Linked DNA regions of Sus scrofa. The protein of the gene in region 1 interacts with the protein of each later gene in a pairwise test. Links are inferred from orthologs where the notes say so. Each region holds a gene or a part of one and is shown on either strand. Other genes may lie near its edges.

Region 1 (4,150 bases):
GGTTCCTTATTAAGTTTGAAAAGTGCCTGAAAGTTTGGGCACCAGAAAGACACCCCAACAACATGTGTCTAAACTGCAACTTCAGGTTAATATGACTAAAGCAGTTACATTGTGAGAAGTGCTGAAGGTATGTGACGTCTTTCCCGGCACAGAGGTGGCCTTGGTTCTTCACCAGATGGTGTAGCCGCCATCTGAGCCACCCATGAAGAAGTTTCCCTTCCGCTGAGTTACGAGGACATTCGCTCCCTGCATGACTGCCAGCTGAGCAGCATTGGGAGGGCATCCAGGGGGAGGAGGCTGAAAGGAAAAGACAAGGTTGATTGGGCACCGGGCAGCTGATACGAGAGAAGTGGACAAAGATGAAAGAGGACCGGTCAGGAAGATGGCAACGTGCTACTTGAGCCAGCAGTGTGGGTGAAGCAGGTCTATATTCTCTGTGAGCCCCAAGACATAAACAGAAAACAGATCCTACCCCTCATTTAAAGGGTCCCAGATCCAAGATAAAGCCTAGGGATCCCTCCTGGGTATGCACAGTCCAGACCCATAAGCATTTGCAGGGTGGAAAATCCCTCTGACTCCCATTCCAAAAAATGGGGAGGGGTTACCAGGTCCATGGCCCTACACCACAGAGTTCCTCAACAGTTTTCACATGGATAATCTGAAGGCTCTACCTGATGACAGCATTCTCACCTCATTGTTAGCATATGGTTACTGCGTGAATGGCCCTAGCAAGGACCATTTGGGCTCTAGTTACCATACATAGGGAAACTAAGTGGGAGACATAGTAAAAGCCCTAGTAAAGTCTTCCTAAAGGGAACTTAACAGGGATACGCATTCTACTTTTTAATCATCATGGCTCCTGATAAAATGCTGTGCAAATATTAAGTAAATGCTTATGGAATGAATGAGGAGTGTTACTAGACCAGTACCAAAGTGAACTGGAAAAGCAGCAGGCAGGACTCCTAAGACAGAAACAAAGGAATCTGGTTAACTCAGACCTCAGTGAATATGCCAGAGGCTACTGACTTCCCACAGTTCTCCTGCCCCCTCAAGTGAATTCTGCCTGATTACTGGACGTCAGTGGTTGCACCAATACCAGCAACTACTGCCCAGGGATGATGAAAGGATGACTATGTAGTCATTTCAGAAAGTTAATATACACAAGGGCTGAGGTTTTTGTGATAAAGGCATACTCACAGGAATGTTGCCAGCAGTAGCGCCAGCTCCAAATCTGGCACCTGTATCATACCCTCCTTCCACCAGCACTGTTGAACCAGGTGGATAGATGGGACCAACTGGATAATAAGCCATGGGGATTGTGGAACCTAAAGGTCCAACAGCCACAGACTGGGCCATGGGAAGGTACAGTGAGGCGCCAGGAAATGCAGCTGACATGGTGGGGACTGTGGCAGCCCCTGGGTGCACAAAGCTCGGACGATAGAGCTAGAAGAGGCAGAAGAGAGGGCAACACGTTACTTTATGACATTCTTATTTCAGATCTCTTTCATGAGGCAATTCTTAATTATTGTGCAGATTACACTCTGAGTTACACAAGTTGCCTTTCCACCAGCCACTCAATATCCTCCTGGATCACTTCCTGCTAGAAATAATGTTGGGCTCAAAGAACGCTAACTCATCTTCTCAACTTCAGCCTGTGCCAAAGAGCAAAATAATCAGATAATGCCTTCTCAACCCCAACTGAAATTGCTGAACTATAAAGAGGTTTTAGATTATCCACGTGAGCTCTCTCTCCTGTTTGTGGAGAGTAAATACATGTGTGGAGCCAGACTTAGCTAAAGACTGAAAATGTGATCCAAGAGTACTCAGTTCAAGTCTAGTAAACTGGAAGCACCTCTGAATAGGCAGGTGGAGCATCAGTATAGGGTGGAGCCTGAGGAAGATGCAAGGTCTGAGGGTACACAGGATTCCCGGGAGGCTGCACCGGGTAGGTTGGCTGCGTTGGATATTGACCTGGAAGACAGGAAAAAAAACAAAAAACAAAAAAAAGAATGTTGCCTACCACACAGAGCAACCAAAATGGGGCAGAGCATACTGGGTAGCTAACCTCACTGAGCCAGCAAGAGGTTTGCAAAAACACTGTCCTAGAGGGCCTGATTCCTGGAACCAAGAAAATAAACACTCTTTGTACCCTTATAACTGAGATGCTGGATTCTAACTGGGCTGGAAGGTCTCTTTACAGTAGCACACTGGTACAAGGGGAAAGTCTATCTAGGCCCAAGATCCTTCCAGAATGGGCATGTCTGCGCACCCATTCCTGTCGATGTTTTAAGTGTGTGCGTCCTCTCTGCTCTGGTGGTCCCCCAGGGCCTGGCTGAAACTGGCCTAGAGCTCGTGAGTAACGGTGTTTGTAGTCCTCCACCTCACAGGTTCCTACTCAAGGTCGACTTCCAAATAAAAAGAGTGGTGAAAGTGAGCCTTGGGATGGGAGAGGAGGTGGAGGCGAATGTCCTAACACAGGAACTGGGAGACGTTCAGGCGGCCAGCGAGGTTAAGGGGAAAGAGACCCTTCGGCCTGCCCGGCCCGCCCACCAGGGCCGGCAATTCACTAGTTAAGCCCTGGGGCCTGCCTGTGGTTCCGGAGCGCGGCGCCCCGCCTCCGCAGGCTCTCCATTGGCCTACCCAAATATCAGCTCTAGCTCCCCATTTGCGCCTGCAGATGCCCATCACGACAAGCCTTCTCGCCCCCCCCCCCGCTCCAACGGCCCCCCACTCGAGCCCGGAGCTCCAAACTGCGCCACAGAGTTTAAGGGGGAAAAGGCCAGGAGGGGGCGAGCAGCCGTAGTTCGGGGATGACGAAGGCGTCTGGCGCAACCCCCGGCACTACAGCTGGCCCAGGAGCGCGGCGCAACTAGCCCCAGGCCTGGCTTTTGATGACCCTTGGTCCCGGGCCCGCTCTCTCCGGGCCAGCACTATTCTCCCCGATGGCCTCAGCTACCCCCTGTCCTTGCCTTTGCTGTTCATGGTGGCTGCGGGTCCGGTTCAGCTCGGCGTCGCGGACGGTTATTTTTTTCGTCCTCTTCCTGTTCGTAGTCACTTCCGTGTCACGTGACGATTCGTCCGCCTAGCGTCACCCGACGCCCGAATGCCGCTGCCACCGGAAACCCCGCCCCTTCGCCAGGTCTCCAGTAGCTGGAGGAAGGACCCGCGTGATCCGCCCACTCACTTTGGCCCCGCCCACTGGGTCGAGCCCTCCAACCCCCACCCTTGTCCCTTGATTGGAAGAAAACAAAGTACAGGTATTGTCTCAAAACAGTATCTTTTCTCTCTTGGTCGCTCTGAGGCAGTACCTTCACACTGCTCCCCGAAACCCTTCCCACCTACGCACTGCAACTCAAGGTCACCTTACTTTGAGAGTCTTTCCACAGGGGGCACAGTGCTACGAATTTCTCTAACTGCCTGAAATACGCTCCTCAAACCCTTGATTTATCCCGTGTTCCCCTCCCATTAAACCCAACTTAAGCCTCAACTCCATAGAGGTTTATTTTGCTGGTCGTATTCACATCTGTCCTTTTCTGACTTAGACCATCACTCGAATTTTCTCAGCCTGTCCATTCTACCGACAGGCTTCTGTGTTTATTTCAGTGTCGCTTTCTCACTAAAAGGAAGGGTATGCTGTGCTGTGAACCCCCCCCCCCCCCACACACACTACAGCTAACACTGAAACTGGCATTCTTGTGGTCCCCAAGGAGTGCCTGTGGCCCTGCCCTTCCTTTGGTACCTGTTACAGGCAACTGTGTGATACCTCATGTATATTTTCCTTTGTGTATCTCCTAAATTAATTGTTCTTGGAGTTCTCTTGTGGCTCAGTGGTCTAAGGACCTGGCGTTGTCGCTGCTGTGGCTCTGGTTATAGCTATGGCAAGGGTTTGACCCCTGGCGTGGGAATTTCTGCATTCCTAGCTGAGGCAAAACAAAACAAAACAAAACAAAACAAAAACCTTGTTCTTAAGGGCAAAGATGGCATCCTTTCAGGCAGCAAATAAGTTTTTCCTTCCATTCTTCGTTTTAAAATATCTGCTGGTGTTGCTCTGTGCAAGTAGAGATGGAGCTGGACAAGACAGGCAAACATTGTTTTCTTATGGAATTTACATTCTATACTTCAGTAAGAACATTAGAAAAGCATCTGAAAA
Region 2 (4,150 bases), on another chromosome or scaffold:
GGCATAGTCCTTTAGCAGCTATAGCTCCAATTCAACCCCTAGCCTGGGAACTTCCTTGTGTCACAAGAGCGGCTCAAAAACGGAAAAAAGAGAGATAGAGAGAAAAAAAAGAAAAAGAGGAGTTCCCGTCGTGGTGCAGCAGAAATGAATCCGACTAGGAACAATGAGGTTGTGAGTTCGATCCCTGGCCTTGCTCAGTGGGTTAAGGCTCCGGTGTTGCTGTGAGCTGTGGTGTAGGTCACAGATGCTGCTCGGATCTGGTGCTGGGGTGCAGGCTGGCAGCCACAGCTCCAATTGTACCTCTAGCCTGGGAAGCTCCATATGCCCTGGGTTTGGCCCTCAAAAGACAAAATGACAAAAGACAAAAAGAAAAAAAAGAAAAAAGAAAGAAAAGGAAATCAATGATTTCTCAAGTCCTCATGGAACACTTCTGAAAGCCCAACTTGGATTAAGAAGCAAAGAGATACAGGCAGAATTCCTGTTTATAGAAGCTTACAAGTAAGCAGGGTCAGACACTCTCCCACAATGACTAAATGAGAAGAGAATTCAATTCATTTAAGGAGCAGAAAAGATTAAAATACAAATAGCACATAATCAAGCACTATGCTGGGAACAACCCTCATCAGTCAACACACAGCAGCCTATGTGTAAGCCTTATATAAAATTCCATTTTAACCAGGCAAATAACCCTCCTTAAAACCCTTCCCTGGTCCTGCCATCACCAGATAAAAGCCCCCCAAGAATCTCCTGCATCTTTTCCCCTATCAGCCACCACAGCTCTGCCCTGCACTTTTTCACTTTTCAAAAACCACCTCCCGGGAGTTACTGCCCTCTTCTCCTTTAGTTGCCCCACGCCCACATTCCCACTACCCCTAAAATTCCCACCCCATCTTGCTAGTCTGAATGTTACTCATTCTTCAGGACACTTTCAGATACATTTCACTCCCTGCGGTCCCTCCAGACACTTGGGGTGTCCCCCCTCAGTGACCTCTCTTAGCTCACACTGCTCACATTTATGGCAAGGATCTCTGCTGTCCTTCTCCCTTAAAGTGCCTACTTTCTGGAGAAGAAAATGATGGCTTGGAAGGTCCCCAAAATTCAAATCCTTCAACACTTCTTAATTTTCCACCTGAGAATCAGTAACTCTTAAAACTAACGTTATCTGTCATGAAATGGATCGAATAAAAATCAAATCTTCTTGCACCTCTGGGAAGCTTCCTTGGTACTGCTTAAGTTACTTATTAGTAACCTTAATAGACTTGGGGGGGGGGGTAAGTGTACTTTTGCAGCCTTAGGTTTACAGAAAAAGGTACAACAATGAGTTAATCTCAAAAACAAAACAAAAGCCACAACTCTTCAGATCCAAAAAACGACTCCCCAGGTGATGCTGTAAACTCATCCTGACCAATTTTCACATCTAAGCTCATGAGCAAAGCGAGCCCCCATAGCCCACGGACACATTTCCCAATCACAGGGCTTGGCCATCAGCGTTGAGACACCACCAGCAGACTCTGATCTACTCCCTGAAGCGGCTGGGTCCCTCCTCCTTGTCGACTAAACTTCCGTGATGAGCATCACCTCTGCTCTCCTCCAAGACGGTTCGGAAGCAGGGACTTGTGCTCCTAACCTCAGGCCCACAACTTTGTCCTCAATCATAGGGCGAAAGTTAGGACCAGTCTTCCAGCTCCCACGCCGCGAAAGACAGCATCCTCCCAGCTCCCGGACCCTTCCCTCTCTGAGACCGACGCGGGTTCCCGAGGTCCCGGCGGCCCTGCCCAGGCCGGGCTGCGACGGGTCCCCAAGGAGCCCAAGGCACGACCCAGCCGGTCACCACCACAGGTGTCCCTTGGTACTCTGCCGACTGGACTGAGTGAGCCGGTCGGAGGGAAGCCATCCCGCGAGAGCTGGACAGGCGGCAGGAGGCGGCCAGGAAACGAGACGCGTCTGTCCGTCGGAGTTGGGCCGGGCCGCGGGCAACTTGGCGACAAGCGCCCTAAAACGGCAGGCCGAACGCGCAGAGGATGAAGGGGGCCGGCGACGGCCTGGGACCGGCCAGGGCCCCGCCACCGGGCCCTGGGCTGGGACGAAGGACGGCAAGAGGGACCGGAGCGAGATGGCCCCGGCCGGGTGGACAGCCTAGACCAATGACCCAGCAGCCCCTGTCGGGACGGCACCGCCACCGCGAGTCGCGAACCGCGCCCCCCTCGGGTCCCGTCCGTCCGCCCCGTACCTCGCCGGCTGCTCCACCCGCGTCGGGACCGCAGCTCTCCCCGCGTCGCTCGAGTAGGTCCCGGCGCCAGTCCACAACCCGCCCTCACGCCGGCCCTCCCTCTCGCACGCCCCGCCCCCGGCGCCGCGAGCGCACGCCACGCACGCATGACGTCACTTCCGGGGCTCGGAGCTCGCCGGGAGGGTGTAGGTGCCCATCGGCATCTGCCCTGGGTGGCGCGAGGGCGAGGCTGGCGTGGATGACAGTGGCGACAAAGCCGTCGGGCATGAGGAAGGAGGCGCCCTCAGCCCTAGTGCTGGGTCCCTGACCTGGAGCGTTCAGAAGCCGACGGAGAAGCCGGCGTTTCCCTGTCTTTTCCTCACCCACTGTATTTGGGAATCCCACTGAGAGAGACGCTGCTCATCCTTAGCTCGAAATGGGAGGCACTGGAAAGGCTGCGGGAGAGAAGTCTTTGGGCCAGTGGACAGTTGCAGTCTGTGGGGAATGAGGCTGCCTGAGAAAGTAATGAATCCCATAGCTTCACACGGATCTTAGGATTTTGAACGTGGTTTGAGTTTAAAGGACCTTAAAGAGAGTGACTGACCTAGAAGCAGGTTTTATAGCTGAGCATAACTGAATTCCAGAGGTTAATAAGTTACCCAGTGTCACACAGTATTAATGATCGAGTCATAAATGGAATCCAGTTCTCCGTGATTCCCATTTCAGGAATGTTGGAGACAGCGGCTGCCTCTGTATTCTGGATGGTATCTATGGCACAAAGTGCAGCCACGACTGGGAGAAAAAAAAAGAAAAAAGAAAAGAAAATACTAGAGTACAGTGTCTGGAGGGAGACCTAAGTTGGAATACCAGGTTTGCTAAATGCTGCCTCTGATCTTGGACAGGTTGTCTAATTTCTCAGTCTTTGCTCATTATTTGCCAAATGGAGATTGATTCATTCCTCAGATTATTCCTAAATTCTGTAGGGAAGCAGAATATGCCACCCAAAAATATGCCTCTGAGAAAGCAGAGAAGCCCTGAAAACAAACCAGAAGTTAACCTTTTGTACAGGAAATGAAGCTAATGAAGGAGATCACGTTAGTAAAGGGGTCTCCCTCTGTACCTGGGAGAGAAGGATGACTCTTAGGTCACTAGAAGCTCAACTATGGATAAGACACTGACTTAGAGCTGCATGACAAACCTTAAGCTTATTTTTATTCCCCTGGTCACCTCCCATAACTGGTCTCCCCTACACACACACACACACACACACAAACACCTTTCCTGTTTTTTCTTTATTGGAAAATGGTATTTAAGTGGGCATTCTAAGCCTTTTCTCAGGGTATCTCCTTTGTATGTGTGAGGTATACATGGTAATAATTTTCAGTTTGTTTTTTTGCTTATTACTCTTTTATTATAACTTAGAAGAGCAGAGGGAAAATGATTTCCCCTCCCCTACAGCACCTAATGTGTGTGCTAGGCCAAGGATACCAGACTGTTAAAAAGTGGTGGGGGGGGTGGGGGAGTACCTATGCTGAGAAGCTTACATTCTAGGGAAGAGGTGGTGGGGGGGGAATAAGTAAATAATAAATACATTATGTACAATAGTACATGAGACAGCAGTGATTGCTTTGAAGAAAAATCATGCAAGGAAGGCCAGCCAGTCAACCAGGAAGACTGAGGTTTTTGGGTGGACAGCAAAGCCCTGGCTAAGGAGGTGACTATGCAACTATTTGGGCAAAAGTGTTCTAGGTGCAGGGAACAGCAAGTGCAGAGGCCCTCTGGACATCACCAGCCTGTGTAGCAGTGAATGGAGGGGAGGTAGGAGAGGAGGTCAAAAGGTAATGGGCCATGGGGAAGGGACTAGCCAAAGTGAGGACATAGGAAGGTCTGACTCACTGGGGCCATTAAGGGAACAAACTACCACACTTGCCTCTGAGAGAA
Region 3 (4,105 bases), on another chromosome or scaffold:
ACCGAACCCGCAACCTCATGGTTCCTACTCGGATTCGTTAACCACTGCGCCACGACAGGAACTCCCGCTGTTGGATTCTTAACCCACTGCACTGGGGCAGGAACTCTTAGGGTTTTTATTTTTGTTTTCAAAAACTTATTCCATTCTAGGAGCTCCCCTGGTGGTGCAGTGGGTTAAGGATCTGGCGTTGTCACTGCAGTGGCTCAGGTCGCTGCTGTGGCCTGCCTGGCCTAGGAACTTCAACTTTTGCATGCAGTGGGCGGGGCCAAAAAACCAAAAACTTACATTCTGATGGAGATAATACTAAAACCACCTAAGCACTTGGAACAAGGGTCCTAAATTTAGATATTTTTTTTTCCAGAGCTAAAAAGGGGAAAGGTTATAAAAGGAAACCACTAAAAAAAAAGGATTATAATAAGCCTTTACTGTATTTTACAGTGAATAAGGCGAAGTCTGCATGATTAAAGGTTCCCTTTCATCCTAACTCAAGTTTCCTGTAACCAAATCTTTGGGAGTCTTTTTCTGGGTGCTTCTGACCCAATCATACGAGGAGACTGGCAAGTTATCTTACCATCAAATACCATTCTTGTCCTAAAGAAATGTCTAGCCGATCCTAGCTAGCTTCCCTTCTGTTCTTTGATTTGATCTTCACGTTGTGTAGAGGGAGAATCACTTAAGTATATTCTAAGCCAGATGCTTTGTGGCCAGGAATCTAGTGACATTCTGCCTCAGGCGTTGGAGTTGGCTAGAAAAAGAGTTGATCTATCTTAAATAGTGCCAAAGGTCTCTGTAGTATGACAAGCTTTCTCGACTCCCCACTTTACATCCTTCCACGTTCTGGAATCTTAGAACCTTTGGAAGTTCCGAAATAGAATCTCCCTGCAGCAACTTAGGTTCAGAACATAAGGCAAACCAGTTTTTGTAAACTCTGCATCTATCCACAGTAAAATGGAGGGTGTCGCCGGGAAACTGCAACTCCCATGAAGCAATGAGAGGGAAGACGGAAGTCACTAACCTACGCTTTTCTGCACTTCTGGGTCTCTTACTGGAAATACATGCTCATATTTAAATAATATAGTATCCTTATAATAAAACCTGGGGAAGGGAAATTTTGTAACTCACACTCAAAATAGTCTATTTTCCAAGAGAACTGTCCCAACTCAAACACTTACCACGAACCCAAAGGGCCAAAAGCTATTGTTATTACCCTCCCGCAGCCCCGCCCCTGGGGGCAGGGCGAGACCACGGAAGTGACGACACCGAGCATTGCATTAAATATCCGTAGGCGGGCCCCTAGCGCTCTCTCGGCCTTAGCGCCATCTTCTGAGGTGAGTCTCGGTTTGGGCTCTCTCCGGTTCCGAGTACAATCCGTAAACATCTGATCTCTGCGATTGCCATCATTACAGCGAACTAACTGTAGACTTTTTTTCTTTACCCGTAGAAACCTCCGCGCCATGAGAGCGAAGGTAAGCAGTCCCCGTTAGTGAGCTGAGGCTCTAAGAATTGGCAGTTGCAGGGGAGACCCAGGCAAGGGAAGTCCGCCATCGTTCTCGGATCGCTAGGTTCTCAAGGGTGCCCAAGAGCTGGTGGGACAGGGAGGATAGTTTGGGGAGAAGCAGAAGCTGGGAGTTAAGTGGGGGTGGAGAGCGGGAATAGGATAGCGCATGCGGGATTGGGGTTTTACAGCGGGGATCCGGGTGGGAGTCCAAGTTGTTGATGTGATTACTGCGACTAAGTCCTCCTAAGTGGTTAAACCTGTCTGGTTAAAAATTACACTATTTATATTCCTCCCTAAACTCGTTGCTACAACTAATGATATCTCGTTTTATTCTCTGCTTCTGGTTGTGATCGGTTGACAGTGGAGGAAGAAGCGAATGCGCAGGTATGCTGAGACTGCAAGTACAGGGTGGGGGAACTGGAGCACACCTTGGGCGAAGCTTGGGAGGAACATTTGGTTTAGAAATCTAAACAGCTTAAGATGAAAAACATGAGCATTGACTTGGCAAAACCAGGGATTGGACACAAGAGGATAGAACCGTAGTGTTCGTTGATTTTTTTTACCCACCCCTTGTATGGTATGCACATTTTAGATGGGAGGGAAAGAAGATTGGGTTTGTGGGCAGGAGGTGCATTCTCGTGTCTGGTTTTCAGGCTGAAGCGCAAAAGAAGAAAGATGAGGCAGAGGTCCAAGTAAACTTGTACACCGTGGAAGCCACAGGAGCAGAAACGAAATCCCAGAGGCCAGGGACGTTGGTACAATTTGTTGGACTGCATGCCTTCTGTCTAGAACTTGTCTCAATGGATCTATAACAACTTTTCGCCGTTCTGATCGCCTGGACCACTCTGAGACCCACCTTGCTCATATCAAAATGGTCCCTTTTGGTTTTTTGCCCTGGACCTGTGACTTTCTGGACTAGTTCTGTTCTCAGTTGTGGCTGAATGTAACACGTGTACAATAAATTATCTGCTGTTTTAGCTGAAGAAAAAAAGTCATCTTGTCTGTTGATGTGGTTTTTATGGTTCATTGGCTGGGGTGTTCTGTATGAGTACTCGCTTTAGAGAATATCTACACTGAGTCGGGGGTGCGGGCCCCGCCCCTGGCCGACTGGTTCTGGACCCTGGGAGTTGCTGGAGTGTTGGGTGGCTCTTATTTCCTGGAAAGGGCGTTACACACGTCAGGGACCGCTTTCAAGTTGATTTCGCCGGCGTGTGGGCAAACAGTTCCGCTCATCGTCCGAAAGGGCTACATTTGCTACGTCCCGCGCTTGGGGCTCTTTGCTGTGCTGTTGGGTCCGGTTGCCATGGTGACACGCAAAGCCTGCTGGGAACTTCCTGCGGCTAATCGCGCAAGTGCTTCGTGAGCCATAGAGTATAGTTCCGGGTCTGGCGGCTAGAGCGTCATTTCTTCCGCAGGAAGCGGAAGGGCGATAGGGTAGGCGGCTCTTTGTCGAAGCTAGAGGACCGGCAGGCGGCAGCAGCAACTACGGCGGCGGCGGCAGGTGAGGGAGGCGGGAGACTTAGGTGGAGGCCGCGCCCGGAGGGGAGGAGTCGGGGCCGGCCCAGCGGCTGGGCTCGGCCGGGCTACACAAGGCCCCCCAGGACTGAGTTTCCTCTGCCTCACGTCCTAGGGCTGAACCCCTTTTCTGACTGACCCCGCTTTGCGAGCAAACGCCAGCTCCGTGACGTCACAGCCCTGCCCATCCCCTCAGCCTCATGTCACCTGGAGTCCCCCTCCCCGCTTCACTTCGTGCTCCTCTAGTGTCCTGTTCACCTGGTCCCCGGCTGAGCTCTGGCGGTACTGCACAGGAACCTGCCAGACTAGAAGACTTGCTTTGGGAAACTCCTAGGACTTTTCGCAAACTCTGGGGTGTTTCGAAGCGTCATAATCACCGCCCCCAAGTCTAATCTGCCATCCCACTGCGCTGTCAGTCGCTGCCCTTGCACGGCTCCCTATTCGGAGTTCTTAACGCCAACCCTAGACCAGGCTACGATCCACGCATCCTCCTTCATCTTGGGGCAGGACGCCCCTCACCCTTTGTTCACTCAGGACTGGTTTTTTTCCAACTCATCCTCCTAGGCTGTCCAAATTTGTTCTGTTCCTTATTATACTCTTCTTACTGATAGCTTCTGCCTTTGACAGGTGAAGTTCAATTTGTACCCTAAGGAAATCTTAGTTCCCAGAGCTCTTGCCATTTGATTAGACTTTATTCTTGTAACCACCCCATAGTCCTCTGTTCTAATCCCTTCTCACACCCAAGTCTCTGTTTTTCTCCTGTTCAGAACCCAGCAGTGATGTGGAGGTGGAGACCCACAGGAGCCCCGGACTTCACCTGAGCTACCTCAGGTATCTAACAATCCTGGGAGAGTTGGGTGGGCAAGAGTATGGTATCTGATTATCTGCTTCTGGTGGGACTTGCAACATGGATCAGGCTTGGATAGGTGCCATTTATTTTTCCCCAGGTCATTTCCTTTTTAGTAGAACTTTGTATCTTCTCTTTTCTCAACCCTTTTTCCTTGGTTATTTTTATCATTCTGGGACTGTCTCTGTTTGGAGGAAGAGGAGCCTTCTTGTACAGATTCTCTTGCAACTCTGGTCCTTGATAGC

The links.
Region 2: the proteins of DAZAP2 (region 1) and RABGEF1 interact in binary tests that used the Homo sapiens proteins (3 or more experiments, as listed by UniProt). The two-hybrid records come from large-scale screens. The link is inferred for Sus scrofa from reciprocal best matches to the Homo sapiens genes DAZAP2 and RABGEF1.
Region 3: the proteins of DAZAP2 (region 1) and ZC3H10 interact in binary tests that used the Homo sapiens proteins (3 or more experiments, as listed by UniProt). The two-hybrid records come from large-scale screens. The link is inferred for Sus scrofa from reciprocal best matches to the Homo sapiens genes DAZAP2 and ZC3H10.

The regions. Positions count from the first base shown.
Region 1 is NW_018085018.1:160,516-164,665, forward strand, and holds the start of DAZAP2 (DAZ-associated protein 2), read right to left. Parts: upstream 3,048-4,150; 5' UTR 2,983-3,047; coding exon 2,970-2,982; intron 1,972-2,969; coding exon 1,853-1,971; intron 1,444-1,852; coding exon 1,198-1,443; intron 298-1,197; coding exon 169-297; coding exon of another isoform or gene 1-168. UniProt on the Homo sapiens protein: In unstressed cells, promotes SIAH1-mediated polyubiquitination and degradation of the serine/threonine-protein kinase HIPK2, probably by acting as a loading factor that potentiates complex formation between HIPK2 and ubiquitin ligase SIAH1.
Region 2 is NC_010445.4:16,374,250-16,378,399, forward strand, and holds the start of RABGEF1 (rab5 GDP/GTP exchange factor), read right to left. Parts: upstream 2,347-4,150; 5' UTR 2,231-2,346; intron 1-2,230. UniProt on the Homo sapiens protein: Rab effector protein acting as linker between gamma-adaptin, RAB4A or RAB5A. Involved in endocytic membrane fusion and membrane trafficking of recycling endosomes. Stimulates nucleotide exchange on RAB5A. Can act as a ubiquitin ligase.
Region 3 is NC_010447.5:21,505,289-21,509,393, forward strand, and holds the start of ZC3H10 (zinc finger CCCH domain-containing protein 10), read left to right. Parts: upstream 1-1,221; 5' UTR 1,222-1,328; intron 1,329-1,441; 5' UTR 1,442-1,466; intron 1,467-1,859; 5' UTR 1,860-1,882; intron 1,883-2,151; 5' UTR 2,152-2,999; intron 3,000-3,780; 5' UTR 3,781-3,844; intron 3,845-4,105. UniProt on the Homo sapiens protein: Specific regulator of miRNA biogenesis. Binds, via the C3H1-type zinc finger domains, to the binding motif 5'-GCAGCGC-3' on microRNA pri-MIR143 and negatively regulates the processing to mature microRNA.